Linked DNA regions of Callithrix jacchus. The protein of the gene in region 2 interacts with the protein of the main gene of each other region in a pairwise test. Links are inferred from orthologs where the notes say so. Each region holds a gene or a part of one and is shown on either strand. Other genes may lie near its edges. The genes, in order: APOC1 and APOA1.

Evidence for each region.
Region 1: the proteins of APOA1 (region 2) and APOC1 interact in a two-hybrid assay, tested with the Homo sapiens proteins (2 studies listed by BioGRID, with this or other methods). The link is inferred for Callithrix jacchus from reciprocal best matches to the Homo sapiens genes APOA1 and APOC1.

The regions. Positions count from the first base shown.
Region 1 is NC_133523.1:39,115,108-39,130,802, reverse strand, and holds APOC1 (apolipoprotein C-I), read right to left. Parts: upstream 6,882-15,695; 5' UTR 6,850-6,881; intron 6,711-6,849; 5' UTR 6,691-6,710; coding exon 6,633-6,690; intron 5,884-6,632; coding exon 5,739-5,883; intron 3,778-5,738; coding exon 3,720-3,777; 3' UTR 3,604-3,719; downstream 1-3,603. Other genes in the region: APOE (apolipoprotein E), read right to left, coding at 12,664-13,384, 13,983-14,181. UniProt on the Homo sapiens protein: Inhibitor of lipoprotein binding to the low density lipoprotein (LDL) receptor, LDL receptor-related protein, and very low density lipoprotein (VLDL) receptor.
Region 2 is NC_133511.1:16,468,882-16,484,492, forward strand, and holds APOA1 (apolipoprotein A-I), read right to left. Parts: upstream 6,721-15,611; 5' UTR 6,547-6,720; exon of another isoform or gene 6,518-6,546; intron 6,293-6,517; 5' UTR 6,273-6,292; coding exon 6,230-6,272; intron 6,043-6,229; coding exon 5,886-6,042; intron 5,305-5,885; coding exon 4,713-5,304; 3' UTR 4,645-4,712; downstream 1-4,644. Other genes in the region: APOC3 (apolipoprotein C-III), read left to right, coding at 1-32, 1,751-1,868; serine/threonine-protein kinase SIK3, read right to left, coding at 15,312-15,335. UniProt on the Homo sapiens protein: Participates in the reverse transport of cholesterol from tissues to the liver for excretion by promoting cholesterol efflux from tissues and by acting as a cofactor for the lecithin cholesterol acyltransferase (LCAT).

The DNA.
Region 1 (15,695 bases), on a different chromosome or scaffold from region 2:
CTACTAAAAATACAAAAATTAGCTGGGCTTGGTGGCACATGCCTGTAATCTCAGCTACTCGGGAGGCTTAGGCAGGAGAATCACTGAGGCAGAGGTTGCAGTGAGCCGAGATTGTGTCATTGTACTCCAGCCTGGGCAACAAGAGCGAAACTCCGTCCTCACAGAAAAACAAAAAAAGAAAAGAAAAATTGGTTATAATTCACATTCCACAAACTTTGTTTATTTATTTTTTTGAAATGGAGTTTTGCTCTTGTTGCCCAGGCTGGAGTGCAATGGCACAATCTCGACTCACTGTAACTTCTGCCTTCCAGTTTCAAGCGATTTTCCTACCTTGGCCTCCCGAGTACCTGGGATTACAGGTACATGCCATCATGCCCGGAAAATTTCACCATGTTGGCCAGGCTGGTCTCGAACTCCTGATCTCAAGTGATCCACCGGCCTCAGTCTCCCAAAGTGCTGGGATAACAGGTGGGAGCCACCGCGCCCCACCACTGATTTCAATTCTTTTTTTTTGAGATGGAGTTTTGCTCTTGGTACCCAGGCTGGAGTGCAATGGTGCCATCTCAGCTCACCGCAACCTCCTGGGTTCAAGCAATTCTCCTGCCTCAGCCTCCTGAGTAGCTGGGATTACAGACACGCGCCACCATGCCCAGCTAATTTTTTGTATTTTTAGTAGAGACGGGGTTTCACCATGTTGACCAGGATGGTCTCAATCTCTTGACCTTGTGATCCACCTGCCTCAGCCTCCCAAAGTGCTGGGATTACAGGCATGAGCCACCTCGTCCGGCTTCTTTTTTTTTTTTAAGAGACAGGTTCTCGTTATGTTGCCCAGGCTGGAGTGCAGCGGCTATTCACAGGCGCGATCCCACTACTGAGCAGCATGGGAGTTTTGACCTGCTCCATTTCCGACCTGGGCCGGTTCACCCCTCCTTAGGCAACCTGGTGGTCCCCTGCTCCCGGGAGGTCACCATATTGATGCCGAACTTAGTACAGACACCCGATCAACATAGTGCACTACAGCCCAGAACTCCTGGGCTCAAGTGATTCTCCAGCCTCAGCCTCCCGAGTAGCTGAGACTACAGGCACGCACCGCCGCGCCCGGCTTGATTTCGGTTCTTTTGAATAAGCACCCAGAAGTGGGATTACGGGATCATCTGATAGTTCTATTTTTAATGCGTTGAGGAACACGAATACTGCTTTCCACAGTGGCTGCAGTGTTTGATGTTTCCACTAGAATTGTAGAAGTCCCTTATATATTTTGAATATGAATCCCTTATTAGATATGTGGCTTACAAATATTTTTCTTATGAAATCTTAAGCTGAGTGCAGTGGCTCACAACTGTAATCCCAGCACTTTGGGAGGCCAAGGCGGGTGGATCGCTCGCGGTCAGGAGTTCCAGACCGGCCTGGCAAACATGGCAAAACTCCGTCTCTAAACAAATAAGCTGGGCATGATGGCACATGCCTGTAATCTTAGTTACTCAGGAGGCTTAAGCAGGAGAATCATTTGAATTAGGGAAGCGGAGGGTGTAGTGAGTGGAGATCATGCCACTGTACGCCAGCCTGGGTTACAGAGCCAGACCCAATCTCAAAAAAAAAAAAGAAATCTTAATTACATAGGGTTGTATCACATGTTTATGTGGTTTAATTTTACATGAGAGCTGGGCACAGTGGCTCATGCCTGTAATCCCAACACTTTGGGAGGAGGCTGAGGCAGGAGGATTGCTTGAGCCCAGGAGTTGGAGACCAGCCTGGCCAACATGGCGAAACCCTGTCTCTACTAAAAATACAAAAAGTAGCCAGGTGTGGTGTGCATGCCTGTAATCCAGCTGCTAGGGAGGCTGAGGCAGGAGAATCCCTTGAACCCAGGAAACGGAGGTTGAAGTGAGCCTAGATCGTGCCACAGCACTCCAGCCTGGGGGACAGAGTGAGACTCTAGTCTCAAAAAAGCAAACAAACAAACAAAACCAAAAAAACAGTCATGGTGTGGTGGCTCATGCCTGTAATCCCAGCACTTTGGGAGGCCGAGGTGGGTGGATCACGTGGTCAGGAGTTCAAGACCAACCTGGCCAAGATAGTGAAACCCTGTCTCTATTAAAAATATAAAAAGTTGCCAGGCGCATGGCTCAAGCCTGTAATCCCTGCACTTTGGGAGGCCGAGGCGGGTGGATCACGAGGTCAAGAGATCGAGATCATCATGGTCAACATGGTGAAACCCTGTCTCTGCTAAAGATACAAAAAATTAGCTGGGCATGGTGGCGCGTGCCTGTAATCCCAGCTACTCAGGAGGCTGAGGCAGGAGAATTGCCTGAACCCAGGAGGCGGAGGTTGCGGTGAGCCGAGATCGCGCCATTGCACTCCAGCCTGGGTACCAAGAGCGAAACTCTGTCTCAAAAAAAAAATTAGCTGGGCATGGTGGCACATGCCTGTAATCCCTGCTACTTGGGAGGCTGAGACAGGAGAATCGTTTGAACCCAGGAGGCGGAGGTTGTGGTGAGCCGAGAATGCGCCACTGCACTCCAGCCTGGGTAACAAGAGCAAAACTCCATCTAAAAAAAAAAAAAAATATATATATATATATATATAAAGTTGGCTGGGCTCGGTGGCTCATGCCTATAATCCCAGCACTTTGGGAGGCCGAGGCCAAGAGATCGAGGATCACGAGGTCAAGAGATCGAGACCATGCTGGTCAACAAGGTGAAACCCCGTCTCTACTAAAAATACAAAAATTAGCTGGGCATGGTGGTGCGCGCCTGTAGTCCCAGCTACTCGGGAGGCTGAGGCAGGAGAATTGCTTGAACCCAGGAGGCGGAGGTTGTGGTGAGCTGAGATCGTGCCACTGCACTCCAGTCTGGGTGACAACAGCAAAACTCCATCTCAAAAAACAAAAAAACATGTATATATATATATATGAAGTTATGGCCGGGCGTGGTGGCTCACACCTGTAATCCAAGCGCTTTGGAGGCCAAGGCGGGCAGATTACCTGAGGTCGGGAGTTCAAGACCAGCCTGACCAACATGGTGAAACCCCATCATAAAAAAAAAAAAGGTAATAAAATCAAGTAAAGATAATTAAAAAAAAAATACATATATATAAAGTTAGCTGGGCGTCACGGTGGGTGCCTGTCATCCCAGCTCCTTGGGAGGCTGAGGCAGATCATTGCTTGAACCTGGGAGGTGGAGGTTGCACTGACCTGAGATTGTGCCACTGCACTCCAGCCTGGGCAACAGAGCAAGACTCCATCTCAAAAACAACCCCCCAAAAACAAAAACACCCGCAGCTACTCATCTCAGATAGACCACAGCAGGACAGTGTAACATAGTGATATTGCCGGGCTGAGGGTTCAATCCAGTTCCAGGTCTCCAGTTCCTGGCTTCGTGACCTTATACAAGTAAATTCACCTCTCTGGATCTCAATGCCCTTTTGGGATTAATAAGGCCCAGTTTGCAAGGTTCTTAGGAAGATTCTTTTGAGACCATGGAGTTACAACATCCTCAGCACAAGGCAAATAGATTGAGCAGTGGAAGGCTTGTGAGGAGTCCCTAAGATGCTGCCCCTACCCTCTCCTGCAGCCCCTACCCCACAGTGAGGAAGCAGTCAGAATTTTCTATAGGATTTTTATTGGTGGCACCTGGAGCCACATGGAGGGAGTCCTCAGCACAGGCACTGGGGTGTGGTAAATTTCAGAGCCCCCTCCTGGGGTATCATCCTTCAGGTGCTCATGATTCAATCCCGAGTTTCTCCTTCACTTTCTGCAGTGTCTCTGAAAACCAGTTCCTGTGGGGAGGAATAAGGAAGGGAGTCACTTTGTGCAGCTACCTTCCAGGCTGTCCAAATTCTACCTGCCACCTGACTCCCAATCTTCCTCTTGCTGAATCTGCATCCTCATTGTCTGTGGGATTAGGAGGACCGCTGGGCTGTGTGGGCCAACTTCTGTGCCTCAGTTTCCCAGATAGACCAACGCACATTGAAAGCTAAACACTTTACCCTTGGCTGGGCATGGCTCACACCTGTAATCCCCGCACTTTGGGAGGCCGAGTCAGGCAGATCACTTGTCTCCAACCTGGAGTTCGAGACCAACTTGGCAAACATGGTGAAACCCCATCTCTACTAAAAATACAAAAATTAGTGAGGCATGGTGGCCCACGGCTGTAGTCCCAGCTACTCACGAGGCTGAGGCAGGAGAATCACTTGAACCTGGGAGGTGGAGGTTGCAGTGAGCCAAGATCAGGCCACTGTACTCCAGCCTGGGAGACAGAGCAAGACTCTGCCTCAAAACAAAACAAAACAAAAACCCAGAAGGAATCATTAGCCAGGCATGGTGGCCAGCGCTGTAATCCCAGCTACTCAGGAGGCTGAGGCAGGAGAATCGCTTGAACCTGGGAGGCACAGGTTGCAATGAGCTAAGATTGCACCACTGCACTCCAGCCTGGGCAACAACAGTGAAACTCCATCTCAAAAAAAAAAAAGACACACTTTACCTCTTCACCCTGGCCTGGATTTTAAGGCCTGCCATCTCTTGCTACCAACCCTTTCTTCAAGCCTGCCCTTGCCCTAGCTGTTCCCCTACTCATTCAAAGGTACTTTCCAGCCTCACTGCCTTTGGCCAGACAGTTCCCCTGCCTGAAATATCACCCTCTCTTGATTATCTATCAGCCTTCGTGCCTTAGGACCTTTGGCTCTGCCTCCAAACAATCTTTTTTTTGAGACGGAGTTTCACTCTTGTTACCCAGGCTGGCGTGCAATGGCGCGATCTCGGCTCACCGCAACCTCCGCCTCCTGGGTTCAGGCAATTCTCCTGCCTCAGCCTCCCGAGTAGCTGGGATTACAGGCACGCACCACCATGCCCAGCTAATTTTTTTTATTTTTAGTAGAGACGGGGTTTCACCATGTTGACCAGGATGGTCTCGATCTCTTGACCTCGTGATCCACCCGCCTTGGCCTCCCAAAGTGCTGGGATTACAGGCTTGAGCCACGCACCCGGCTCTTTTTTTTTTTTTTTTTGAGATGGAGTTACCCACTTGTTGCCCAGGCTGGAGTGCAGTGGCGCCATCTTGTCTCATCACAACCTCTACCTCACAGGTTCAAGCGACTCTCCTAACTAAGCCTCCGAAGTAGCTGGGATTACAGGCATGTGCTACCAAATCTGGTTAATTTTTTGTATTTTTAAAGAAGAGACTGGGTTTCTCCATGTTGGTTAGGCTGGTCTTGAACTCCCGACCACAGTTAATCCACCCACCTCAGCCTCCCAAAGTACTGGGATTATAGGCGTGAGCCACTGCGTCGAGCCTAATTTTGTATTTTTAGTAGAGATGGGGTTTCCCCATGTTGGTTAAGCTGGTTTTGAACTCCCAACTTCAGGTGATCCACCTGCCTCGGCCTTCCAAAGTGCTGGGATTACAGGCAAGAGCCACTGTGACCAGCCTCTAAACAATCTTTCCAAGTTTAGCCCTAGCTAGATTTTTCCTTCCTTCCTTTCTTTCTTTCTCCCCCACCTCCCTCCTTCCTTCCCTCCTCCCTCCCTTCCCTTCCCTTCCTTCTTCCTTTCCTTTCTTTCTTTCTTTATAGGAGTTCAGGAAACTGTCCCTGAAGTCTGAGCACCTTGAGATCTAGCTGTGTGACCAGAGGGAAGTTGTCATCCTCTTTGGGACTTTTTTTTTTTTCAATCTGTTCATCTTGGCTCATCCTCCAGGGCTCCACCCAAACACACCCAGCCCTCCAGTGGGAAGGGTTCTAACCGAGTCTTGGCAGGAATGTCACTCTCTTTGACGCGGTTGAAGAATTCCCGAACCTTGTCCTCCATTGTATTTCCAAACTCCTTCAGCTTATCGAAGCCGCTGGAGGTGTCCACGCCCTCCGGGGCCCCCTGGGCTGGGCCTGGGCCTGCCAGGAACATGGGCAGGGGTGCAAATTCTTTTTTTCTTTTCTTTTCTTTTTTGAGACGGAGTCTCACTCTGTTGCCCAGGCATCTTAGCTCATTGGAACCTCCGCCTCCCGGATTCAAGCAGTTCTGCTGCCTCAGCCTCCTGAGTAGCTGGGATTACAGGTGTGCACCACCAGACCCGGCTGATTGTTTTGTATTTTAGTAGAGACGGGGTTTCACCATGTTGGCCAGGCTGATTTCGAACTCTTGACCTCAAGTGGTCCGCCCGCCTCGGCCTCCCAAAGTGCTGGGATTACAGGCGTGAGCCACCGCGCCCAGCCAAATATTTGTTATTGGAAACCCCTTAGGATAAGATACCGGGAGATTCTTGGGGATCATGTTGTTAGAAAGGGGAGGACACTGGAGTGACCGGGTGGGGCTCAAGCTGCTGAGCATTGCCTTATTCAGCTGACCCCCTCCCCCAGCCCCCAGCCCCGCTCACCCACTTTCAGGGCTGTAGAAGCAGGACAGCCAGTCCCAGAGGGACGGGCGTCAATACGTCATCGGTTGCTAGGGCCCTCCTGGGCAGATTTGGAGCCTGCCGGACTGAGCCTGGAAGAACCTGTAGCAACCTACCCGATAGCAACGGGACAACTGCGACCCAGAAAGGGCTCCGGAGCGCTCAGAGGTTCTCTAAGCCGGGGCCCCAGGCCTGTAGCCACCATCACTCTTCCACATCTCCAACTCCCCAATTCTACTCCACTTTTACCTTCCAAGATCATCAGCAGAACCACCACCAGGACCGGGAGCGACAGGAAGAGCCTCATGGCTGGGCAGGAGGGGTACTCTGGGGGCAGAGGCAGGGGTGCAGGGGATCAGCGGCACCCTTCTCCCTCCCTCCCTCCCTCCACGATCCCCTCGTCTCCTCTTTTGAGTTCCTGCAGCGGGGAGGCGGGCGTCCCCCCCCCCGGACAGTCAGCACCAACCTGAATCCTTGCTGGAGGGCTCGGGTGGGGATGGGAGATCCCGGCGCCCGCAGGACCTTTATCAGGCTGGTGAGGGGGCGGGGCAGGTTGATGCTGATCTCCCTCCTGCGCCTTCCCCTGGCCGCCTGCCTCCCTCTGCCTAGCCACGTGTTTCTACTCTGCCCCTGGCCCGTGGGCGTTGGGGTCAGGTGAGGTCCTAGGCACTTCCCTTAGCCCCAAAGCCTCAGCACCCTCACCTCCCAATCTTCCTGACTCTGGGGCGTCCTCAGACTGCCATTGCCCCTTTCCCCACTCAGAGGGCAGCCTGGTTCTGTCCCTATGGCCATCTTCCTTCAGGGGGCTCCCAGTAATAACCCTGTGAGCTCATCCACGCCTCATTCACACCGTGTCCCTAGACCACCTCTTCCCTCCACTTCCTCTCTCTTAGCAAGCCTCCTCAGCCCCAACTTTTCTTTATGTTGCTGGGGTCTCCAGGTTGGCCCCACACTCCTACCCTGAGTGCCACTTCCCATCTCTTTCAGACCAGCCCTTAAAGCCCCTAGACCACCCTCTTATTCTCTGGGCTTTTTTTTTTTTGAGACTGAGTTTTGCTCTTGTTGCCTGGGCTGGAGTGCAATGGCACGATCTTGGCTCACCACAACCTCGGCCTATTGGGTTCAAGCAGTTCTCCTGCCTCAGCCTCCCACGTAGCTGCAGTGACAGGCATGTGCTACCAGGCTTGGCTAATTTTGTATTTTTAGTAGAGACGGGGTTTCTACTTATTTTTTTCTTCTTTTTTCCTTTCTCTTTAATCAAGTAGATGAAGTGAGAGACGGGGTTTCTCCATGTTGGTCAGGCTGGTCTCGAACTCCTGACCTCAGGTCATTCACACACCTTGGCCTCACAAAGTGCTGGGGTTACAGGTATGAGCCACTGCCCCTGACCTGCTTTTGGCTCTTAACTTTATGGTTCTCAATCTCCCTTTTTTGTGAGGGGAAGGGGATGCCTCAGCTGGATGACACTGCAAAAACCTCACCTGCATTGGCCAGGGGTGGTGACTTATCCCTGTAATCCCAGTGGTTTGGGAAGCTGAGGTGGGAGGATCGCTTGAGCCTAGGAGTTCAAGACCAGCCTGAGCAACATAGAGAGACCTCATCTTTACAAATAAATTTAAAAATTAGCCAGGTGTGGTGGCGCATGCTTGTAGTCCCAGCTACTCAAGAGGCTGAGGTGGGGGGATTGCTTGAGCCCAGGAGTTTGAGGCTGCAGTGAGCCATGATTTTGCTGCTGCACTCCAGACTAGTGGACAGAGTGAGACCCCATCTCAAAAAATTAAAACCCTCAGCTGTAAAGCTTAAATGTATGCCCCTTCCTCCTTCCACCGGGCCTCACCCCATTTGCCTGGCTACTTCCCCGCAACACTCTATCTACTGTTATTCACCCTCTGAGGCCCCTCCTGGCACCAAGCCCACTTCCCCCCATCACCACATCCGTCACCCTGGGCTGGAGTCCAATGCCTTCCCCACCAGCTGCCTTTGACCGCCAGTGACCCTGGCAGCTAGTGGGGAGGGTGGCTTCGGCCCAGCCTCAAACTCTAGGTTGGCTGGCCTTGTGCCCCCACAACCACGTGTCAGCCTGGCGGTAGGGGGATGGTTGTGAAAGGGACGCATAGACAAGACCCTGGCAGAATTGCAACATCTCTCTGGCCAGCTCAGAGCTTCCAGTCCCTGTCAGCCCCAGAGGGCCCCCTACTTCCCCAACTGAGCCCAGCAGTCCCCAGACATCCACCCAGATGTCTGCTTCCCTGACCCCACAAGAATAGAATAGCAGTGCTCCTGCTTTTCCACCTCCTGACCCCACAAGAATAGAACTGCAAAGCTCCTGCCTTTCATCCTCCCACCCTCTGCTATAGGGGTTTCTGTTTTATACATGGGGAAACTGACACACAATGAAGAACATCCAGTAGGGCTCAGCGAGGGACAAAGAGGGAGTTGTGGGGGCGCAGTGGCTCCCGTCTGTAATCCCACAACTTTGGGAGGCCGAGGTGGGCGGGTCACTTGAGGTCAGGAGTTTGAAACCAGCCTGGCCAACATGGTGAAACTTTGTCTCACCAGTGAGCTGAGATTGAGCCACTGCACACCACTGAGACTCTGTCTCAAAAATATAAAGAAATAGGCTGGTCGTGGTGGCTCATGCCTGTAATCCCAGCATTTTGGAAGGCCGAAGTGGGCAGATAACAAGGTCAGGAGATGGAGACCATCCTGGCCAACATGGTGAAACCTCGTCTCTAGTAAAAATACAAAAATTAGCTGGGCATGGTGGCACAAGCCTGTAGTCCCAGATACTCGGGAGGCTGAGGCAGGAGAGTCGCTTGAACCTGGGAGGTGGAGGTTGTGGGGAGCTGAGATTGTGCCACTGCACTCCAGCCTGGGTGACAGGGTGAGACTCAGTCCCAAAAAATAAATAAATAAATAAATATAAAGAGGGAGCTCTTTGTCTGTCTCCGTCTAGGATCCGGGATGTCTCTCTGGATGGTTGCCGGGGTCAACTCCTGTCCCGTAGGACTCCCTGCCGGCCTTTGTTCTGGAACCTCCTTCCCATCCCTGTCCCAACTCTAGATCTGACCACAGATGTGGTGAGATAGGGCGCCCAGTCTGCTTAGAAGTCTTCACAGGTCAGCTGGGTGCAGTGGCTCACACCTGTAATCCCACCACTTTGGGAAGCTGAGGCAAGAGGATCTGCTTGATCCCAGGAGTTTGAAATTAGCCTGGGCAACGTAGTAAGACCCCATCTCTACAAAAAGTTTTAAAATCTGGCTGGGTGTGGTGGCTCATGCATGTAATCCCAGCACTTTGGGAGGCTGAGGTGGGTGGATCACTTGAGGTCAGGAGTTGGAGACCAGGCTGACCAACATAATGAAACACGCTCTCTGCTAAAAATACAAAAAATTAGCCGGGCATGGTGGCACATGCCTGTAATCCCAGCTACTTGGGAAGCTGAGGCAGGAGCATCCGTTGAATCCAGGAGGTGGAGGTTACAGTCAGGTCAGATCGCGCCATTAAACACCAGCCTGGGAAATGAGTGAAACTCTGTCTCAAAAAAAAAAAAAAAAGTTAGCCAGGCATAGTGGTGGGTGCCTGTGGTCCCAGCTACTCGGGAGGTTGAGGCAGGAGGGTCACTTGAGTTGGAGGCTGCACTGATCTGTGAGCACCCTACTGCACTCCAGCCTGGGTGACAGAGCAAGGCACTGTCTCAAAAAAAAATTATTTATACATGAGAACTCAAGGGTCGACTCTTCAAGTGGGAGATGGGGCTGATGCTGCTCCCCTCATTGACATCTGGGTGCTGCCCCAGCCCCTGGACATACAGTGAATCAGCAGCAGGCCCAGCGGACCAGGCCCCCTGCCTGTGAGCACACTGACCCTTCCCCTCCTCACGCAGACCTGGTGAGTCATCTCTGGCGGAGGAGAGCTGCCTCCACAGGGGTGATTGGAGCAGCGCCAGGGAAAGCACCGCGTCTGGAGTGTGCACGACGGGCAGAGGAACGTGCAGATGTTGCAGCTGGCCCACGAGATACAAGCTCAAGTTCTGGCCTGTCCCCCGTTGGTGGGAACCCTGCTCCCCATCTCTGGGAACTGAGGGGGTGGGAGGGAAGGATAGTGCCGGCGGCTCCTAGGCTTTCATCCAAGATTCCCCTCTCTGAGCGCCAACTCTTTTTTTTTTTTTTTTTGAGACAAAGTTTTGCTCTCGTCCCCCAGGCTGGAGCGCAGTGGCGCGATCTCGGCTCACTGCAACCTCAGCCTCCTGTGTTCAAGTAATTCTCCTGCCAAAGCCTCCTGAGTAGCTGGGATTACAGGCACTCACCACCATGCCCAGCTAATTTTTGTATTTTTAGTAGAGACAGGGTTTCACTATGTTGACCAGACTGGTCTCCAGCTCCTGACCTCAGGTGATCTGCTCTGCGCGGATCTCATCTCAGCGTGGCACCTGGGGCAGCCTTCCATAGAAGGAGCTGCTCCCTTCTCTTCCCAGCCTGGACTCAGCACCCGGTAGGCTTGTTGGGAAACATGAAAGGTGGACATCACAGCTGGAGGAAGGGATGGAGAATGAGGGATAGGCTGGGCGAGATGGCTCACGCCTGTAATTTCAGCACTTTGGGAGGCTGAGGCAGGCAGATCATTTGAGATCAGGAGGTTGAGGCTTGCCTGGTCAGCTTGTTGAAACCCCATTTCTACCAAAAATACAAAAATTAGCCGAGTGTGGTGGTGCATGCCTGAAATCCCAGCTACTCCGGAGGCTGAAGCAGGAGAATCGCTTGAATCTGGGAAGGGGAGGTTGCAGTGAGCCAAAATTGCACCACTGCACTCCAGGCTGGGCAACAGAGGGAGACTCTGTTAAAAAAAAAAAAAAAGGAAAGAAAATGAGGGTTGGGGCAGGGAAGCCCAGTTCCTAGTGGGTGAAGGGACAGCTAGCTAGAAGGGAACTGGAGAAGCAAGGGGCTCAAACAAAACCGGTGGCGGAGGGACAAACCCAGATGCAGAAGGGAGGGGGGAAAGAAAGCAGGCCTGGGAGAGAGAAACTGTAGGAGGGAGAGATAAAAGATAGAGGTGGAGGAAAACAGGAAGCCAGAAAATGACATCTCCTAAGGAGAGCATGGAGAGACAGTGGGGGGTGGGGGTGGGGGTAGGGGGGAGGAGACGGGAAGGAGGCAGAAATCAGAAAAGACGGGAGGAGAGAAGGAGGGAGAGTAAAGACAGCAGAAAAAAATAAAAATGGCTTCAGAATAAAGGCACCAGTCTCAGCTCATTTGGGGTTGCAACTCTTGAGGAGCCAGTGTTATTAGGATGGGCAGGCCTGGCACAGCAACTCACTTGCACTTGGGAGGCCGATGGGGGAAGTTCGGTTGAGCCCAGGAGTTGGAGACCAGCCTGAGCAACATAGTGAGACCTCTCATCTCTACAAAGAATAAAAGTAAATAAGCGGGTGCAGTGGTGCTAGCCAGTAGTCCCAGCTCCTCAGGAGGCCAAGGTGGGAGGAACGTTTAAGCCCAGGAGTTCCACATGAGCCTGGACAACACAGCCAGACCCCATCTACACCCACACCCACACCCACCACACAAATTAATCCTGGTGGTGTGCGCCTGTAGTCTCAGCTACTGGAGAGGCTGAGGCAGGAGAATCACTTGAGTCCAGGAGGTGGAGGCTGCAGTGAGCTGTGATCAAGGATAACAGAGTGAGACCTTGTTTTGGAAAAAGGAAAAAGGGGAGTAGAAATAAAAGAGGGGCAGAGGCCAGGCACGATGGCTAATGCCCGTAATCCCAGCATGTTGGGAGGCTGAGGTGGGTGGATCACTTGAGGTCGGTTCAAGACTAGCTCGGCCAACATGGTGCAACCTCGTCTCTACTAAAAGTACATAAATTAGCCAGGTGTGTTGGTGCCAGCCTCTTATCCTAACTACTGAGACATGAGATTTGCGTGAACCCAAGGTGAGGCAAGAGAATCGTTTGAACCCAAGAAGGAGAGGTTGCAGTGAGCTGAGATCGAACCACTCACTGCACTTCAGCCTGGGTGACAGAGCCAGACTCCGTCTAAGACACAGAGGGGAAGGATGGGCTGAGAACTGTGTGGCCAGTGTGCAGGCAGAAAGAGAAATTGAGGCTGGAGCTTAAAGAAAATCACACAGGGAGGCCAGCAGCTGCGGTGAAACTTGGTGAGTCTTTATTATAGGGCCCACCAGGAGGACGGCTGGGTCGGGGGCAGGGTCTCCCGCTGCATGCTGAGCGGAGGCAGGAGGCACGGGGTGGAGTGGGGTCCCCTGGCTGCAGGCCTGGGCGTTTAGTGATTGTCGCTGGGCACAGGGGCGGCGCTGGCGCCCACGGCGGCCTGCACTTTCTCCACCAGTCCGGCCCACTGGCGCTGCATGTCTTCCACCAGGGGCTCGAACCAGCTCTTTAGGCGGGCCTGAAAAGCCTCTGCCTGCAGGCGCATCTGCTGGGCCTGCTCCTCCAGCTTGGCGCGCACCTCCTCCACCTGCTCCTTCACCTCGTCCAGGCGGTCGCGGGTCCGGCTGCCCACATCCTCCATCCGCGCACGCAGCCGCTCGCCCCAGGCCTGGGCCCGCTCCTGCAGCGGCTGGCTGGCCAGGGAGGAGCCCACGGTGGCGGCCCGCGCGCGGCCCTGCTCCACCAGGGGCCCCAGGCGCTCGCGGATGGCGCTGACGCCGCGCTCGGCGCCCTCGCGGGCCCCGGCCTGGTACACGGCCAGACGCTTCTGCAGGTCATCGACGTCGCGGAGGAGCCGCTTGCGCAGCTTGCGCAGGTGGGAGGCGAGGCGCGCCCGCAGCTCGTCCGTGCTCTGGCCCAGCATGGCCTGCACCTCGCTGCGGTACTGCGCCAGGCGGCTGCGCACGTCCTCCATGTCCGCGCCCAGCCGGGCCTGTGCCGCCTGCAGCTCCTTGGACAGGCGGGCTCGCGTCTCCTCTGCCACGGGGCTCAGCTGTTCCTCCAACTCCGACTTGTAGGCCTTCAACTCCTTCATGGTCTCGTCCATCAGCGCCCTGCGGCCGAGAGGGGGAGGGTGTGCGCACAGGGGAAGGCGGGGGTGGGGATGGGTGAGAAGGGCTGGGGTGAGGGCAGGTGGAATGGGGATGAGCCAGAAAGACCTGAAAAAGAGGGAGAGATGGGGAACAGGGCAGAGGCCAAGAGAAGGAGACAGAGACAGACAGATGCAGAGAGCAGAGGCAGAGACGAAGAAGGGGCCAGGTGGCTCACGCCTCTAATCCCAGAACTTTGAGGCCGAAGCGGGAGGATCGCTTGAGCCCAGTAGTTCAAGACCAGCCCGGGAAACACAGTGAAACCCCATCTCCCTGTCTCTCTTTCCATACACACATACAAAGGAGCTAGGGAAGGACAGAGCCAGAGCCAGAGCCAGAGCCAGGACGAGTGTGAGCGACTGAGTCAGAAGAGGGGAGGAAGAGACAGAGCTGGGAGAGAATCCTAGAGAGCTAAAGCTGGGGTTAGAAATGGGAAGAGGAAGCTAGAACCCTCAGAGGCCCAGACGCCCAGGCATTTATGACAGGACACACCATGAAACCTGAACCTGGGGAGTTGCAGCTGCCCACCAGGAGGGTCAAGGGCCGGGATAGGGACACTCACGTCAGTTCCTGGGTGACCTGGGAGCTGAGCAGCTCCTCCTGCACCTGCTCAGACAGTGTTTGCACCCAGCGCAGGTAGTCCCAGAAGCGACCCAGCGCTAGCTCCCAGGGCTGGCCGCTCTGCCAGTCGGCCTGCTGGTGCAGCTCCTGCTCCGGCTCCAGCTCCGGCTCCAGCACTTGCTCCACCTTGCCCTGGCATCCTGTGTGGAACAAGTTCAAGCTGGGTCAGGGTCCTTCTGCCCCCAGCCAGGCACCCAGTACCTGGCACACAGGTGCTCCACAAAGGCTTCTTTGAAGCCATGAGGAGGAGGGTGAGGGTGGAGTCTGCTTAATCACTTGAAAAGCAGTATTAATTTATTTATTTTGAGGAAGAGTCTCACTCTGTTGCCCAGGCTGGAGTGCAGTGGACCAATCTCGGCTCACTGCAACCTCCGCCTCCTGGGTTCCAGCGATTCTCCTGCCTCAGCATCCTGAGTAGCTGGGACTATAGGCGCACACCACCATGCCTGGCTAATTTTTTGTACTTTTAGTAAAGACAGGGTTTCACCATGTTGGCCAGGATGGTCTCGATCTCCTGACCTTGTGATCTACCCACCTCGGACTCCTAAAGTGCTGGGATTACAGGTGTGAACCACTGCCCCCAGCAAAAAAACATTATTTGTTTATTTATAGACTCTGTTGGCCAGACTGGAGTGCAGCGTCTGAACATGGTTCACTGAAGCCTTGACTTTCTGGACTCAAGTGATCCTCCTGCCTCAGCCTCTTGAGTAGCTGGGACCACAGGTGTGGGGCACCACACCTGGCTACTTTTTTTTTTTTGAGACGGTGTTTCATTCTTTTGACCAAGCTGGAGTGCAATGGCATGATCTCAGCTCACCGCAACCTCCGCCTTCTGGGTTTAAGCGATTCTCCCGCCTCAGCCTCCCAAGAAGCTGGGACTATAGGTGCGTGCCACCACGCCTGGCTAATTTTTTTTTTATTTTTAGTAGAGACGAGGTTTCACCGTGTTAGCTAGGATGGTCTCAATCTCCTGACCTCGTGATCCACCCTACTCGGCCTCCCAAAGTGCTGGGATTACAGGGGTGAGCCAGCACGGCCAATGGAAAAGCATGTATCAAGTGTCCTTGTGCGCCCCATGCAGGGCTGGTGGGGTGATGGGGAATAAAGATCACAGTTGATTCGTCACAGATATTCACTACCTACCTGACAACACATTAGAAACCTCTAACTCCCAGCCGGGCATAGTGGATCACGCCTGTAATCCAAGCACTTTGGGAGGCGGAAGTGGGCACATCACCTGAAGTCAGGAGTTCAAGACCCGCCTGGCCAACATGGTGAAACCCCATGTCTATTAAAAATACAAAAGTTAGTTGGACATGGTGGTGTGTGCCTGTAATCCCAGCTGCTGGGGAGGCTGAGGCGGGAGGATGGCTTTAACCCGGGAGGCGGAGGTTGCAGCAGTGAGCCAACATCGCGCCACTGCACTCCATCCAGCTTGGATGACAGAGTTAGGCTGCCCCTCCCCCCACCAAAAAGAAAAAACTCTCATCTCAAGGATTGGGGAAACAGGCCTAGAGAGCATCAATCGCTGTTCAGAGCCAGGGAGCGGCACGGAAGCTTCAGACCTGAGCCTTCCCTTCAAGAAGACAGACCAGCTGACGATGGGACTCAGACCTGCCTGAATGGGGTCAGGAGGTTGGTGTGGAGGGGGGAG
Region 2 (15,611 bases):
GTGCAGGAGTCTCAGGTGGCCCAGCAGGCCAGGTACACCCGCCAGCCCTCCCTCCCCATCTTCCCTGCCGGCTCCCTCCATTCCCCACCGCCCCTGCCCTGGTGGGAGCCCAGCAGTGGAGCCGCGGTGCTCCCAGCCTCCCCTGGGCCTATTCCTCTTTGGCCTCCTCTTTTCTCACAGAGCCTTTGTCAGGCTGCTGCAGGAGAGATGACAGAGTCGGGACTGCATACCTCCCAGTCCCTCTGTGCTCCCCAGGGCAGCCCTAGGGCGGGCCATTTTTAGCCCTTATTTCCATTTTTCTTCCCCCTTTTTTTTTTTTGCTTCTGAGATGGAGTCTCACTGTCACCCAGGCTGGAGTGCAGAGGCACGATCTTGGCTCACTACAACCTCTGCCTCCCAGGTTCAAGCAATTCTCCTACCATTCTCCTGCCTCAGTCTCCCAAGTAGCTGGGATTACAGGATTACAGGCACATACCACCACGCCCAGCTAATTTTTGTATTTTTAGCAGAGACGGGGTTTTACCATGTTGGTCTGGCCAGTCTTAAACTCCTGACCTCAGGTGATCCACCCACCTCAGCCTCCCAAAGTGCTGGGATTACAGGCATGAGCCACTGCACCTAGCCCCCCACTTTTTTTTTCCAAAGGTCTGTCTAGAGCAGTGGTCCCCAACCTTTTTGGCACCAGGGACCAGTTTTGTGGAAGACAATTTTTCCATAGACTAGCGGGTCTGGTTTGAGGGTGAATGAAACTGTTCCACCTGAGATCATCAGGCCTTAGATTCTCATAAGAAGCGCTCAACCCAGACCCCTCGCATGCACAGTTCGCAATAGGGGGGTCAAACTCCTGTGAGAACCTGATCTGACAGGAGGCGGGGCTCAGGCGCTAATGCTCGATCCCCAACACTCATCTCCTGCTGTGCCGCCCAGCTCCTAACAGGCCACAGACCAGTACCCGTCTGTGACTTGATGCTTGGGGACTCCTGGGCTAGAGGTTGGCCTTGGGAGGCCTCACCTGACCCACCTGACCCAATTCTAGCCTGGGCGTGAGAGCACTTCTGCCTTGTTCCAAGAGCTGAGGCCCGTGTGAGCAGAAGCCCATCCTTCTCTCCCATCCTGCCTTCTCTCTCATCCTGCCACTGCTCACCGGTCCTCTCCTCTCCCCCACTCCCTTCTCCACCTCACCCGACTGGCATTGGCGGGCATAGCAGAAGTGTGCTTAAATATTCTTAGTCCTCAGAACCCGCCATGGGGTAGGCGCTATTTTCCCACTTTGCAGATGAGAAAATTAAGGCTCACAGCAAGTAGGTGACCTGCCTCAGATCACACGGCTAATTAATCCTCTAATGACTTTCCAAATGAGAGGCTGCCTCCCTCTGCCCCACCCCACTTAGAGCCACCAGGATGTACAACTCCAGGGGGTGCTGTTTGCACAGAAAAACAATGACAGCCTTGACCTTTCACATGTCCCCACCATGTCACTCTGTGCCTTAGGCCCAGGGGTACAAACATCATCCAGATGTGACCTGGAGACAGCAGAGTTGGACTTGGCTGGGGTCCCTGGGAGGGTATCTCTTCTCCCAGGCTGGCGGCCGTGGGTGATTCCTGCCTGAGATCTCTGGGCTGTTGTCAAGTGAGGTTGAGAGGGTGTCGGGGAGAGCCAGTGGGGACATGGGTGTGTGTCCCATGTTGCCTATGGAGGAGTTCTCACGCCCCCCCCCCCCACCTCCATTGCTTCTCCTTACTGATTTAGGGACTGGGTGACCGATGGCTTCAGCTCCCTGAAAGACTACTGGAGCACCATTAAGGGCAAGTTCTCTGAGTTCTGGGATTCGAGCCCGGAGATCACAACTCTGGCCGAGGGTGTCTGAGACCTCAACTCCACAAGTCCACCTGCCTGTCCATCCTGCCAGCTCCTTGGGTCCCGCAGTCTCCAGGCTGCCCCCACAGGTTGCTTAAAAGGGACAATACTCTCATTGCCCTCCCACTCCCCATCATGCCTGGCCCCCTCCAGGCATGCTGTCCTCCCAATAAAGCTGGACAAGAAGCTGCTATGAGTGGCCCGTCGCAAGTGTGCCATCTGTGTCTGGGCATTGGAAAGGGCTAAGGCTGTTCTGTGGGTGGGCACTGGCCAGCATTCTGTCCACTTCCTGGTAGCTGGGCGGTCTCTGGACCTCATTTTCTTCATCTCTACGGTAGGAATCATCCTCCGTACCCTGCCTTCCTTGACAGGTTTATGTGGAAGACCAAACAGGACAATATATTTGCTGATACTTGATAAACTGTTAGGTGCTGCTCAACATGACTTGAGTGGGTGCCCTATGCCAGCCACTATGCCTGGCACTTAAGTCCTCATCAGAGTTGAGACTGTGTGTGTTCACTCAAAGCTGTGGAACTGACCTCCCCTACCCAGGCCACCTGGCAGGTACAGGTGAGGGGAGGAGGCCGGATGGGCTCGTGGCTGGAGTAAGATGCAATGAGGCACTAGTCTTGGCTCCACCACTTGACATCAGCCTCAGTTCCTTACATGTAAAATGGGTACGACAGTACCCCCTCCACTTCAGGTGTGTCATGAGATTGAAATGAGAGTGTTCAAACCATTTGGCCCAGCCCCTGCATGTGAAGATGCCTGATAAATGTTGTCATCATTATAGTTGAGCTGACTGGGCCCTTGGGACGCAGCTTGGAGTGGCAGGGGGCAGTGTCCTGGAATCCAAAAAGGAGCACAAGGTCACACCAACAGAGGGGGCCTTCGTGTCCCCACCACCTGAAAGATGTCAGGCCAGAGAGCTCTAGAGCTGCAGATGGCTTGAGTAGGCCTCCACTCCTCAGATGAAAAAACTGAGGCCCAGAGAGGCGAACACAGTTGCCCAGCACCACAGAACCAGCACGTGGCAGGGCCAGACCTTGAGCCCAGGTCAGCCATGTGTATTCTGCTCAGTTGATGCAGAAAAGTTTTGTCACTTCTGTGTCAGGTGTTAGGGGCTTCTTTACAGATCTCAGTGGCATCAGTACCTCCGGCCCCACCTGAAGACTGCTTTCTCTCTGGAAATTCCCTAGGGCTTCTCTGCACCGAGAGATCTCAGCACCCTTATCTGGAAAATGTTCCCACCCAGACCTGGCTGTCTGTCTGCTGTAGCTCTGGAAGATTAGGAACTAAAGAGCTGACTCCTTTTTCCAAGGGGTAGCTAAGATACACTGGAGATGGGGCTATGGGGACGGGGCAGATTACCCAGGGGCCTGCATGATGGGGCAAAAGGTCCTGCAGAAAGAGGGCAGGGAAGGCTCTATGGGTGCACTGCCCAGATCTGTGGAGCCATGTGCATGCACGCGGGGACATTCAGACATGGGTGCACAGAGGGACTGTGAGCAGGGAGGTCACGTGAGAATATGCAGGCATGCCTGCACACCCATGTGAACTTGCGTGCTAGGCCACACACTTCTTTTTTTTTTTTTTTTTTGAGCTAGAGTCTTGGTCACCCAGGCTGGAGTGCAGTGGGACAATCTCAGCTCACTGTGACCTTCGACTCCTGGGTTCAATCGATTCTCCCGCCTCAGCCTCCCTAGTAGCTGGGATTACAGGTGCAAGCCACCATTCCCAGCTAATTTTTTGTATTTTTAGTAGAGACAGGGTTTCACCATGTTGGCCAGGCTGATCTCAAACTCCTGGCTTCAAATGATACCCACCTTGGCCTCCCAAGTGCTGGGATTACGGGCGTGAGCCATTGCACACAACCCATACACTCTTAATCATGGATGTCGAGGAGCGCAGGGTCTAAATAGGGTTGCCTAGCCCATCCTGCTGTTCACTGGGCAAGCAACATCCCATCTTAGGGCTTCAGCATCCTCATCCACGCTGTGCCATGGCAATCTACACAGGATGTGGGGAAGGGAGGATGCAGTGAGATCACAGATATGAGAGCATCTTGGAAATAAAAATGTACCTGCAAGAGGTGGTGGTGATTTTTCTGACCCAGGTCAGCTTCTGTCAGAGCTAGCAGAAAGACCGGGTGGCACCGCATGGGGCCGCAGGGGGCGGGGGGCTGGCTTCCACTGCTGTGCCTGAGGATGCTGTGGCTATTGCTAGGTGGGATGGGAGGAGTGGGAGGGAGATTGTGAAAAGGGAATTGTCTGCTTGACAGGTTTTTGAATTAATAAAGGAGTATAGGCGCAAACTCCAAGCACTTCGCTGTACCTGGCCTAACCTCTGTCCCAGTTGCTCCCTGAGGCCGCTCTGCCCCCACCCCTCTGAAAGCGGCTCTGTGTGGGAACACCTCTGGGGACTGGGAACCCCACTGCCCCCAGGTAAAGTAACCCTGTTTCCTGGCCTGTCTCGGACAGGGATGTAGGCCTCGTTTGATCCTCTTTCAGGACATTTGGCCTTGGATTGTCTGTGGCTTTGGTGGTCCGCTGTGACTTCCTGTCTACTTGAGCCTTGCTAAGGCAGACTCTACTCCCTCCCTCACAAGCAGCCAGGCCTCCAGCAGGTCCTCCAGCATCCATCTTGGCCCTAAGAGGCTCGGTCTGGGCACGGAGTTGTTGAGATCCGGCTGGAAGTCCTTGGGCCAGGGCCAAAGGCCCCACCCGGGCTCCCCCGATGTCCCGCCCCCCCCCGCCCCCTTTATTCTCCCAAAAGAAAGAAGCTGCTTCCCACTTTGGAAACGTTTATTCTGAGCACCGGGAAGGAGAGCGGCGGCTGGCGCCTCACTGGGAGCTCAGCTCTTGGTGTACTCCTCGAGCGCGCTCAGGAAGCTGGCCTTGAAGCTCTCCAGCACGGGCAGCAGGCCTTGGCGAAGGTCCTCGAGCAGGGGCTTGGCCTTCTCGCCGAGTGTGCTCAGATGCTCGCTGGCCTTGGCGTGGTACTCGGCCAGGCTGGCGCCGCCGCTCTCCTTGAGCGCCTCGAGGCGCGTGGCCAAGCGCTGGCGCAGCTTGTCGCTGTAGGGTGCCAGTTGTGTGCGCAGCGTGTCCACGTGGACGCGTGCGCGGTCGCGCACCTGCTCTCCCAGCGAGCTCAGCTTCTCCTGCAGATCCTGCAGCTTCTGGAGCGCGCCCTCCTGGAGCTCCGTGCGCAGCGGTTCTAACTTCTGGGAATAGAGTTTCATCTCCTCCTCCCACTTCTTCTCGAAGTCGTCCAGGTAGGGCTGCACCTGGGCCTTCACCTCCTCCAGGTCCTTGCTCATCTCCTGCCTCAGCACCTCTGTCTCCTTTTCCAGGTTTTCCCAGAACTCCTGGGTCACCGGGCCGAGCTGTTCGCGCAGCTTGTTGACAGTGGAGGTCAAGCTGTCCCAGTTGTCCAGGAGCTTCAGGCTGGACGGGGAAACACAGTGGTTGAGGGCTGGCCTCCCAGCGCCCCAACCAACCCGGGGTGAGTCCTGGGCGACACCTGTCCGCGAAGGTGCAGTGGCCTAGAGTTTCAACACTCTCAAGCAACACCTCTGCCCTGCCCTGCCATGCCCCGTTGTGCAGCTGGACCGAGGCACAGAGAGGAGCTAAGAAAGAGACAGAGCTGGGACTGGTGCCCAGTTCTCTGGTCTCCAAAATGGGCCCTTGAAGGACCTCACCTCTCTGCCTCCAGCATATTCTCCTCTCCCAAGACAGCCCACACTTTTGCTGGGCAGGAGCAGAGGAGGTGACGAAGGGCAAGGGGGCTGCTGCACTTGTAGGCACAAGCTGGCGTTGTTACCACAGATCAGGCAGCCCTGGTCTGACCTTTGCAGGGGGCATGGGCTGTGACTCTGCCCGGGGCTCCCATTCCGGTCTCTGCATCCAGACCATTTGTGGGGCCCAGCTCGTCAGATAGTAGGTGAGGACTCACCAGTCTGGATTCAACATCTTCCCACAGGCCTCTGCCCCCTGCCCCTGCCCTCAACCCCAGGCTGGGTCCTTACTTTAGCTGTTTTCCCAACATGGAGCTTTCAAACTGGGACACATAGTCTTTGCCGCTCTCTTTGACTGAATCCACGTACACAGTGGCCAGGTCCTTCACTCGATCCCAGGGGCTCTGGGGAGGTTCATCTTGCTGCCAGAAATGACGAGCCTGGCTCCCTGAGGGTGGGAGGGGAGACTCAGATCAGGCCAACTGTGGGCTGGGATCTGAGCCAAAAGGCCAGGCTTGGAGATGGGAGAGAGGGGGCCAGTGAGAAACCTGCTGCCTCTGCCCAGGAGGGTGAGCCAAAGGGGTTTAGGGAGAAAGCCCCCCAATGGTTGGTTCCCTAGGCTGGGGGACACCTACCCGTCAGGAAGAGCATGGCCAAGGTCAGCACCGCAGCTTTCATCCTGAAGGGCTGTGGGGGACCTGGAGGAGAAGAAGGGCCTGGCTGAGTGGCGGCAGGAGGGGTGTGTCTCTAGCATGCTGAAGCCCCCTGCTCCCCCCACTCATTACAGCCAGGTGAGGAGAATGTGCACAGAGTGGGAGAAGACCTCAGGTTCCCAGAAGCCTGGCTTGGGGCAGAGCCTGAACCTCGATGCCTCGCCTCGAGCTGGGTAGCCAGAGTCACCCGGGACAGGCAGCAGCACTCACCTCCTTCTTGGGCAGGCAGAAACACTCACCTTCTTCTGGAAGACTAAGTAGCCAGCTCTCGCAGGGCCTATTTATGTCTGCAGCCAGGGGCTGGGCAGGGAGACAGATAAGCCCAGCCTGGGCCCTGCTGCTGCTCACTGGTCCTGGCGATGTGGAACTCAAGAGTTCAAGGATCAGCTCTGTCCCTGGGGAAGGGCAAATACAGTGGGCAAACAGCGAGCTGCCGAGCTGCAGGGCTGCAGGGCAGGGGTCAAGGGTTCAGTGGGGGCGGGAGGGGAGTGGCTGCAGGCTTGCAGGTCTCCAGGGTGGGGTCGGGGTTCCCTGCACTCATCCCCTTCCCCTCCATGGGAGTGTGTGGGCGGTTGCCATTGTCCATTGTGCTGGCAGAGGGGAGGGGAGGGACGCTGGGACTCCTCCACCCAGGAGACCTCCTCCCCCACCATCCTGCATTCCAGGGAGACTACATCACTCCCACCCCTCTTCCCCCACCCCTTCCTCCCACCACTGTGCTTCTTTGGTCCCCAGCAGGTCCTGCAGGCCTCTCTCCAAGTCCCCCAAATTGGTAAACCTGGGGAGAGGGGAGAGGGCTCTGTGGTACCCAGACTGAGGTTTCAGAGACCTCTTGCCTTTCAAAACACAATAGAGACCAATCCAGAGCTGCCAACTTTTAATTTTGTCATGTAAAGATATCGTCTGCCTCCAAAAACCCTCATGTCTACCATGACCATCACTTCAAAAAGGAAAGACTTTAGCAAAAAAAAAAAAAAAAAAAAGGGGGGGGCATAACCTCAGAATAACATTGCAGAGTTGAAGTCCCTTAGAGTGAAGACGCCTTCCTTTGCATTGTTCACACATTTGATGATACACAGGTGAGACGATATCCTAGCCCTTGGAAGCCCTGGTGTGGGAAGAAGACCCCTGGGCAAGGAAGTGGCCGGAGACCTGCTTTCCCGTTTTACTCGGCCTCCATCTTGCTGGAGGAAGACAGTGGGCAAGTTATGTAATCTCTCTGAGCCTCAGTTTCCTATCTGCAAAATGGGGCAAGAATGGTCAGAGTTGTCAGAGGCCCCCGAGACAGCCTGTGAATGCATCCGTTGGTGTTTGCAGCACCATCTTGTAAGGTTTCTCCGGGAAGGCCCAGACCTCCCACAGCAGGTTACTGACAGAACCTGAGTCCTAGAGCCTGTGATGCAGGCTGAGAGGAACTGTGAGATCACTCCAGCCTCTCCCAACACCACCGTCTCACAGATGAAGAGACTGAAGAGCATGAAGGGACTTTGCCCAAAGGCTCTCATCTCTCAGGGAGTTAGAAGAAAGGCTGGACCTAGAACCCGGTCTCTGGACTTAGGACACATGGCAGAAATGTACCCTGCACCTTCAGCCCGGGAAACTCTAGAAACCAGCCTGACGTCTCTGTTTACCAGATCGGGGAGTGGTCGGCCTCATGCCTTTTATTTCAGAGAAGATTCTGGAGCCAGAAAACCTTAGATTTGATTCCCAGCTCTGCCACTTATTAGCTGTTTGACCCTGGATGAGTTATGCTATGTAACCTCCTCACACATAGTTCCTGATTGAAGATAATGATAGAACATGCCATCGCCCTGAGTTATGGCCGGGTTACTGTGTGGATAACATCCCTGAAGATTCCTCATCCCTGGAACCTGTGACTTTGCTACCTTCCATGGCAAAAAATGATTTTGCCAGTGTGATTAAGGACCTTGAGATGGGGTGGTTAGCCTGGATTCTTCAGGTGGGCCCATTGTCATCTCGGGGGTCCTTAATTATGTAAGAGGGAGGCAGCGGAGTCAGAGTCAGAGAAGGAGGGGTGGGGTTGGCAGCAGAGGTCAGACTTGGGACTGCTGGAAGAGGGGCATGAGGGAGGGACATGGGCAGCCCTTCTCTAGAAGCTGCAGAAGGCAAAGGATTTTTCCCTGCAGCCTCCAGAAGGAGCACAGTTCTGCTGCCACCATGATTTTAGACCAGTGTGACCCATTTTGGACTTCTGGCCTCCATAACTGTAAGATAATAAATGTATGTTGTTGTAAGCATGAAATTTGAACGTATATGCAAAACTGTTAGAAAGGTATCTAGCACTTAGTAAGTAGTAACTATTCTGTTTTCTAGAATCCCAGTTTCTGGTATTCTTTCCTTTATTCCCACGACACTTGCTTTACCACACCTGAGACCTCAGCTTCTGCAGCAGGCATGAAGGGAGGAATCCCACTTTTCTCTGCTTGGCCTTGACTTGCAGTTGCTGAAATATGGGACATCTTTTCCAGGACTGAAGTGGCCCCAGATGTCTGTGGGACTGTGCAGAGAGGGAGGTGGCCTTAGTGAGCCGTCAGCCTGGGCTGCCTACTTGGCCATCCCAGCTGTCTGTAGCTTTAGAAAGTGGGAAGGTGGCTGGTCCCCTGCGGGGACAGCTCACAGATTTCTCAGGCCAAGAGAGGGTCCTTTCTTTTGGGGGTTAGAGTCTATCCCAGCTAGCACTTGGGGGAATCTCAGAAGCTTACTGGTTGGACTCCAAGATACTTGCCAGTGTTTTTTGTCTTTTGTTTTTGAGGCAGAGTCTTGTTGCCCAGGCTGGAGTGCAGTGGTGTGATCTCGGATCGCTGCAACCTCCGCTTCCCAGGTTCAAGCCATTCTCCTGCCTCAGTCTCCCAAGTAGCTGGGATTACAGGAATGCACCACCATGCCCAGCAAATTTTTTTGTATTTTTAATAGAGACGGGGTTTCACCATATTGCCCAGGCTGGCCTCAAACTCTTGACCTTGTGATCCGCCCGCCTCGGCCTCCCAAAGTGCTGGGATTACAGGTGTGAGCCACCGCGCCCGGCCCTACTTGCCAGTGTTTTACTCTTTTCTTTGGTTTGTTACTAAAGTGATTGTTATGGCTAAACCTAATACTTACCATTTGCACAGTTCTTTAGTGGCCAAAGTACTTTCACAACTTAGAATGTCCCTGGAAGGCTGGAGGCCAGATTTTGCCTTTGTCATTTTGCCTGTGGGAAAACTGCAGTTCAGAGCTGCCCTGCATCCTTCAGCTGTTACTAGTTAGCGCTGGCAGGGGTGGGAATTGGGAAAGCCTGGCTTCTAGTTCTTTGAGGGTGGCCTTGCAGCCTTGCAGAGCCTGCAGCCTTTGCAGTCTGTTCAGGGACTGCTCAATTTCCTGGCTCAGGGACTGCAAGGCATCAGGATAGGGGGTACTGTTGAACAGCATCTTACCAAGCAGGGAGTATTTTGCTTTTATTTTTATTTATTTTTTTTTTTTGAGACAGAATTTTGCTCTCGTTGCCCAGGCTGGAGTGCAATGGCGCGATCTTGGCTCAATGCAACCTCCGCCTCCTGGGTTCAAGCGATTCTCCTGCCTCAGACTACCGAGTGGCTGGGATTACAGGCATGTGCCACCACGCCTGGCTAATTTTGTATTTTTAGTAGAGACAGTTTTCTCCATGCTGGTCAGGCTGGTCTTGAATTCCCAACCTCAGGTGATTTGCCTTCCTTGGCTTCCCAAAGTGCTGGGATTACAGGCATGAGCCACTGTCCTTTTTTTTTTTTTTTTTTTTTTGTTCTTTTTTTCGAGACGGAGTTTCGCTCTTGTTACCCAGGCTGGAGTGCAATGGCATGATCTCGGCTCACCGCAACCTCCGCCTCCTGGGTTCAGGCAATTCCCCTGCCTCAGCCTCCCGAGTACCTGGGATTACAGGCACACGCCGCCGTGCCCAGCTAATTTTTTGTATTTTTAGTAGAGACGGGGTTTCACCATGTTGACCAGGATGGTCTTGATCTCTCGACCTCGTGATCCACCCGCCTCGGCCTCCCAAAGTGCTGGGATTACAGGCTTGAGCCACTGCGCCCGGCCCACTGTCCTTTTTTTAAATATACTTATTCACCAGGAATGAAATTCACTTCATTTCATTGCAAGGTATTTGGCTGAAACTAGACCAAAGCCCATTTACTAATATTTTGGAGAGAAAAGAAGTCTTTCTGGACAGAGCCTATGGAAAAACTAACTACCACCAACTGGGCTCATGACGGACTCAGACTCAGGGTCTAGCCAGGCGTTGTTCGAGGTGCTAAGTGCCCATAGGTTGGGATGTTTAGTAGCTGCAGGGCCCCCATTGTAGGCCCCTATTTCCACCCACTTCTTTTCCTCATCTTGGGAGATTCCACTGCTCCTGACCTGGTCACCAAGTCCTGGCTCTGGATGCCCTGAAGTGTGGGAGTGTTGACAGCTACTGCACGAGTGGATTTTGCACAGAAAGATTAGCGACTCCTTTCACAATTTATGCCCCAGTGTGCTGGCCAGTCTGCACTGGGAGGACTCTGTCCCCTGCTAGGTCTTGCACATAAAAGACACCCGCCAAACATCTGCTCAGTGAATGGCACTGGCATGCTAAACAGAGGGTCACCAGCCTGGTCGTAGGGAGGCGTGGTCCTGGGAGAGGAGGCAGCCACATACCATCCCTGCTCAGAACATTTCTTCTGGGAGCATGTGGCGTGGGCCAGAATGAGACTCAGGGAGGGGAGGTGCTGACTAAGCAGGGGAGACAGGACTCCTAGCCCCAGTATTTCCTATTCGGCAATTTTGCTGCAGCTCTTGTGATAGAGCCCCAAGTTAGACCCTTGGGCGGGGCACTGCCACCAACTAAGCAAGATTCTCTCCTGCCCTCCTCAGGGGACTAAGGCCAGGACAGAGCTCATCTTTGACCAGCAGGAGGGAGGCCGCCCTCTGAATTCTTTATCTTTGTAGCTGGTGTGGGGTGGGGGCTGGCACAAAGTCAGAAAGAAAACTGGGTAGGAATCTGTCAGCACAGTTCCTGTTTTCTGGAGCTGAGCTCTCCAGTCTGTATCCAGGAGCCAGTGCTCTGCTTCCTCTAGAATCTCACCCTACCCCTGGTCCAAAAGGCACCCTGGCTGATTTTTTTTTTTTTTTGAGACGAAGTTTCGCTCTTGTTACCCAGGCTGGAGTGCAATGGCGCGATCTCGGCTCACCGCAACCTCCGCCTCCTGGGTTCAGACAATTCTCCTGCCTCAGCCTCCTGAGTAGCTGGGATTACAGGCACGCGCCACCATTCCCAGCTAATTTTTTGTATTTTTAGTAGAGACAGAGTTTCACCATATTGACCAGGATGGTCTTGATCTCTTGACCTCATGATCCACCCGCCTCGGCCTCCCAAAGTGCTGGGATTACAGGTGTGAGCCACAGCGCCCAGCCCACCCTGGCTGATTTTAGGAGGGAGTGGCACTTATTACAACAGGTGCTACAATTTGTTGGATGGCATCTGGGTGTGATCACTGTTTGGGCCTAGAGACTCACCTAGTCTTGCATGAGAGCATATTACAGACTCAGGAGTTTCAGAAGACCCTCCTTGAGAAGGCTCTTTTCTATTCTAATTTAAATGGCTCTACAGCCCCCCATGGACTTGAAGTCTTTCTTTTTTCTTTGCAGAAGTGCAGTGGTGTGATCATGGTTCACTCACTGCAGCCTCAAACTCCTGGGCTCACACGATTCTTCAGCCTCAGCCTCCTGAGCAGCTGGGACTAAAGGCATGTGCCATCAGCCTGATTAAGTTTATTTTTTGGTAGAGGTGGGCTCTTGCTATGTTGCCTAGGCTGGACTTGAACCCCTGGGCTTACATAATTCTCCTGCTTCAGCCTCCTGAGCAGCTGGGATTACAGGCGCATGCCACCATGCCCAGCTGGCTTTCTAAATTCTCTCTTGTTCTTCCTTCCGTGAACTCAGATGGTGTTTCCAGCTTCAGTGAGTTTTCTTCATAGACCTTCAACCAGCTGTCTCTTAGCGATGCCTGGGACCTTGCTGGAAACTCTACCCTGCCCCTTGGAGTTCAGTTATAGAAAAAGGAGAAAACTATAGGAAAATTCACCCCGGCTTCTTTTTTCTTTTTAAGATTCTTCCTCTGTTGCCCAGGCTGGAGTATAGTGGCACATTCTTGGCTTGCTGCAACCTCCTGGGTTCAAGCCATTCTCTTGCCTCAGCCTCCCGAGTAGCTGCAGGCACATGCCACCATGCCTGGCTAATTTTTGTTATTTTTAGTAGAGACAGGGTTTTACCACATCGACCAGGCTGGTATTGAACTCCTGATCTCAGGTGATCCACCTGCCTCGGCCTCCCAAAGTGCTGGGATTACAGGTGTGAGCCACCACGACTGGCCCATCCCTTTCTTTTCAAATGTTTATTTAGCTATACTCTCACTAGGCCAACGAGGGTCACATCTTAAAGAGTCCCGCCTGTGTTCACTCTTTAAGGATCCTTTCCTGTACTCTTCAAAAGTGCCCTTTCAAGGAAGCTGTCTTCCACCTGGCTCAGCAAATTCAAATGCTCCCTTCTGACAGGGCAGAGTCCTAGCTGGATGCCCAGGGACAGGGTGTGAAGTGGAGTTCAGGCTTCTAGAGAATGCGAGTTTCATAAGGTGAGATCATGAATCATTCAAAGCCCCACCCTAAGCCTGGGAGACCTCTCTAGCCTTCGCTGCTCCAGCTCCCACCTACCTGAGCCTTCTCCCAACTATACTCCGAAGCACAAATAATCTATCAGGCTAAGAACAGAGTCAGGCTCCTATCTACACAACCTCCTACTGTCCCACTAAGTAACCAAGTTGTATATAAGTTGCCTCACAAAAGGAAGGACAAAAGGTCTTAGCAACTTGAGTCTGGAGATTTTTTTTTAATCCTTTTTAGTTCAACATAAAATGAGAAAGAAAAAAATACTTCTGACATTTTCAGAGAACAGAAATAGGAAAGTATGTTCATATACATTCAACATATACTGCGCATATTGGTTACTACAATACAAAGCAATGAGTTTTTTTTAAGTGTAGTTTGCAAGATGGCACGGTTAGTAGACTCACTGGCTTTCATCTGATGTTGCTGGAGGGTGCAGTCTGCTCTCCCATACATACAGTACCATGTAAACAGATCAGGCTGAATGCGTGGTGGTGGTAGGGCAAGTCGGGGGCATAAGAGTTGGAACAAGCCCAGAGAAGTCAAACAACAGCTTTTAGGGCTTTCTTGGTAAGCCCCCTTCTGGTGAGTAGTTGATGACCCCACCGGTTGGAAGGGAGATTGGGGACCATGGAAACATGGGAACGCTCCCAGGAAAGGTTCTTGCATTGCAGAATTCCACTCAAGGGATATTGGGTCCAGGAGCTGAGCTGCCAGTATCAGTGGAGAAGGACATGGTGCATGGGGATCCCGCCAGCAATATCAGGATGGCCATGCCGGGCACCCGCTTTCCTCTGTGCAAATTCAGGATGAAAGACTAGGAGGGGACTCGGGATTCTTGCTCTCCTTTCCCAGAAAAAAAAAAAAGGATGTAGAGTCAGAGTATTCAAGGTCTCTCTCTTGTTTTGAAGATCAGAAGGACATAACCCAGACCCTCTCTCAGCCCCAGCCAGCAGAGAAGACTTTGGTTTCTAACAATGAAGAGAAATAAAGATAACACAAACAATAGCTATTGCGTATGCACTGCTTCAACTGGGGAAAGGCGATCACTGCATCTGTCACTGGCACAAGTAAGAGCGGTTCACAATTACAATGCCTAAAGGAAATACTTTGAACAAAAGGTGCAAGTCACAATTCAAATAGAACAGAATCTGGTTAAACATTTCTCTTTTAAACAAAAATTCATTTTGTCTTTATTTATTAATGACAGTAACAATAATTTCAACATTTACCAAAAACAATTTCTACATGATCAAGAATTAAAATACAGGGCTGAGGGTGCCCGGTGGGGAGGAGGAGGTTAGGAGAGAGGCAGGGCTGAGGGTGCCCAGTGGGGAGGAGGAGGTTAGGAGAGAGGCAGGGCCCGAGGCAACCTCCTACACTTCTTGCCTGTGACAAATAGGCTGAAAGGGGAGAGCATATATATATATTATATATATTATATATATATACACACATACATATATAATATATATGGAGAAACAATTCTTTTTATAGACAATATAAAATGAGAATGAAAGATGCCACAGAAAGCATAGTGCACTGCTGTTGGGTGTTTAGTCCATGGATAAAACCAGCAGGATGATCAAGGCAACCAACTTTCCAGGTTACAAGAGGGGAGCTGAGATACCCACCAAAAGCAAAGGCTCAAATGGAGACATTCTAACTGGCAAACCATCTATGCCAGGTCATTCTCAGCCTCCACGCTAAACTCTTCATATGATCTTGGCTGGGACAGACATGCTTTTCTGTGGATACCAGCAGTAAAGATCTCTCTAGGTTCCAGGCTTGGGGGTTTCTTTTTTTGTTCTCTAAGTGCCAGAAGCTGTCACCCTTCCTCTCTCCCTTTGCCTGCCGTGAGGATTCTAGAGGATGGCATCCTCTAGTATTTGCTTTCGCAGAAGAGCAATGCAGGGGGATGGAGGCTGATGAAGGCTAGGGAGGGAGTGGCCCTGAGGCCCCTGGCCTCTGATCTAACTGCTTTGCTCTCCTGTTTCAAAAAAGGAAAAAAAGAAAGAAAGAAAAAAGAAAGTAAATCACTTCCAGAAGAAAACATACCAGAAACAAAAGAAAACACAAACCCCCAAACGAAACAACAAAACCACCAACTCAAATATACTTTCACAAAAGATGAAGAACATGGATTTCCTGTTTATTTCCTTGGTGACTTGGTCATACAAGCAAACATGGCAAAACCCTCTCAGAACCCAAAAGAACAGCACACGGATGAACCAAATGTGAGGAGAGGAGCTGTGACATTCTGGGTGGAGAGAAACACAGGGCAATTTGGCGCAGCGCTGCTAGATACTGTGGGTTTTCAATCAACCTTTTCATTCCCAAGCTGTACACACAACCTGCAATAAAGCGGACACAGAGGAGAATTTGCTTGAAGAGAGAAAGACTCAAATTTCCATTTAAAATTAAAAAAAAAAAAAAAAAAAAAAACTCAGTGGGCTCCCTTTCCCTCTGCGGCTTGCCACACTGAGGTGCTGATGTGGATTTGCCCAGCTGCTTCCCTTTCACCAGGTCTATTCTGTGAAGGATTTTCCGGATACGACCAATGGTGCGTACTGTTCACTCTGCACTACTCCAGCCAAATGAGCTCATTTCCCCATTTTCTACCATGGGCC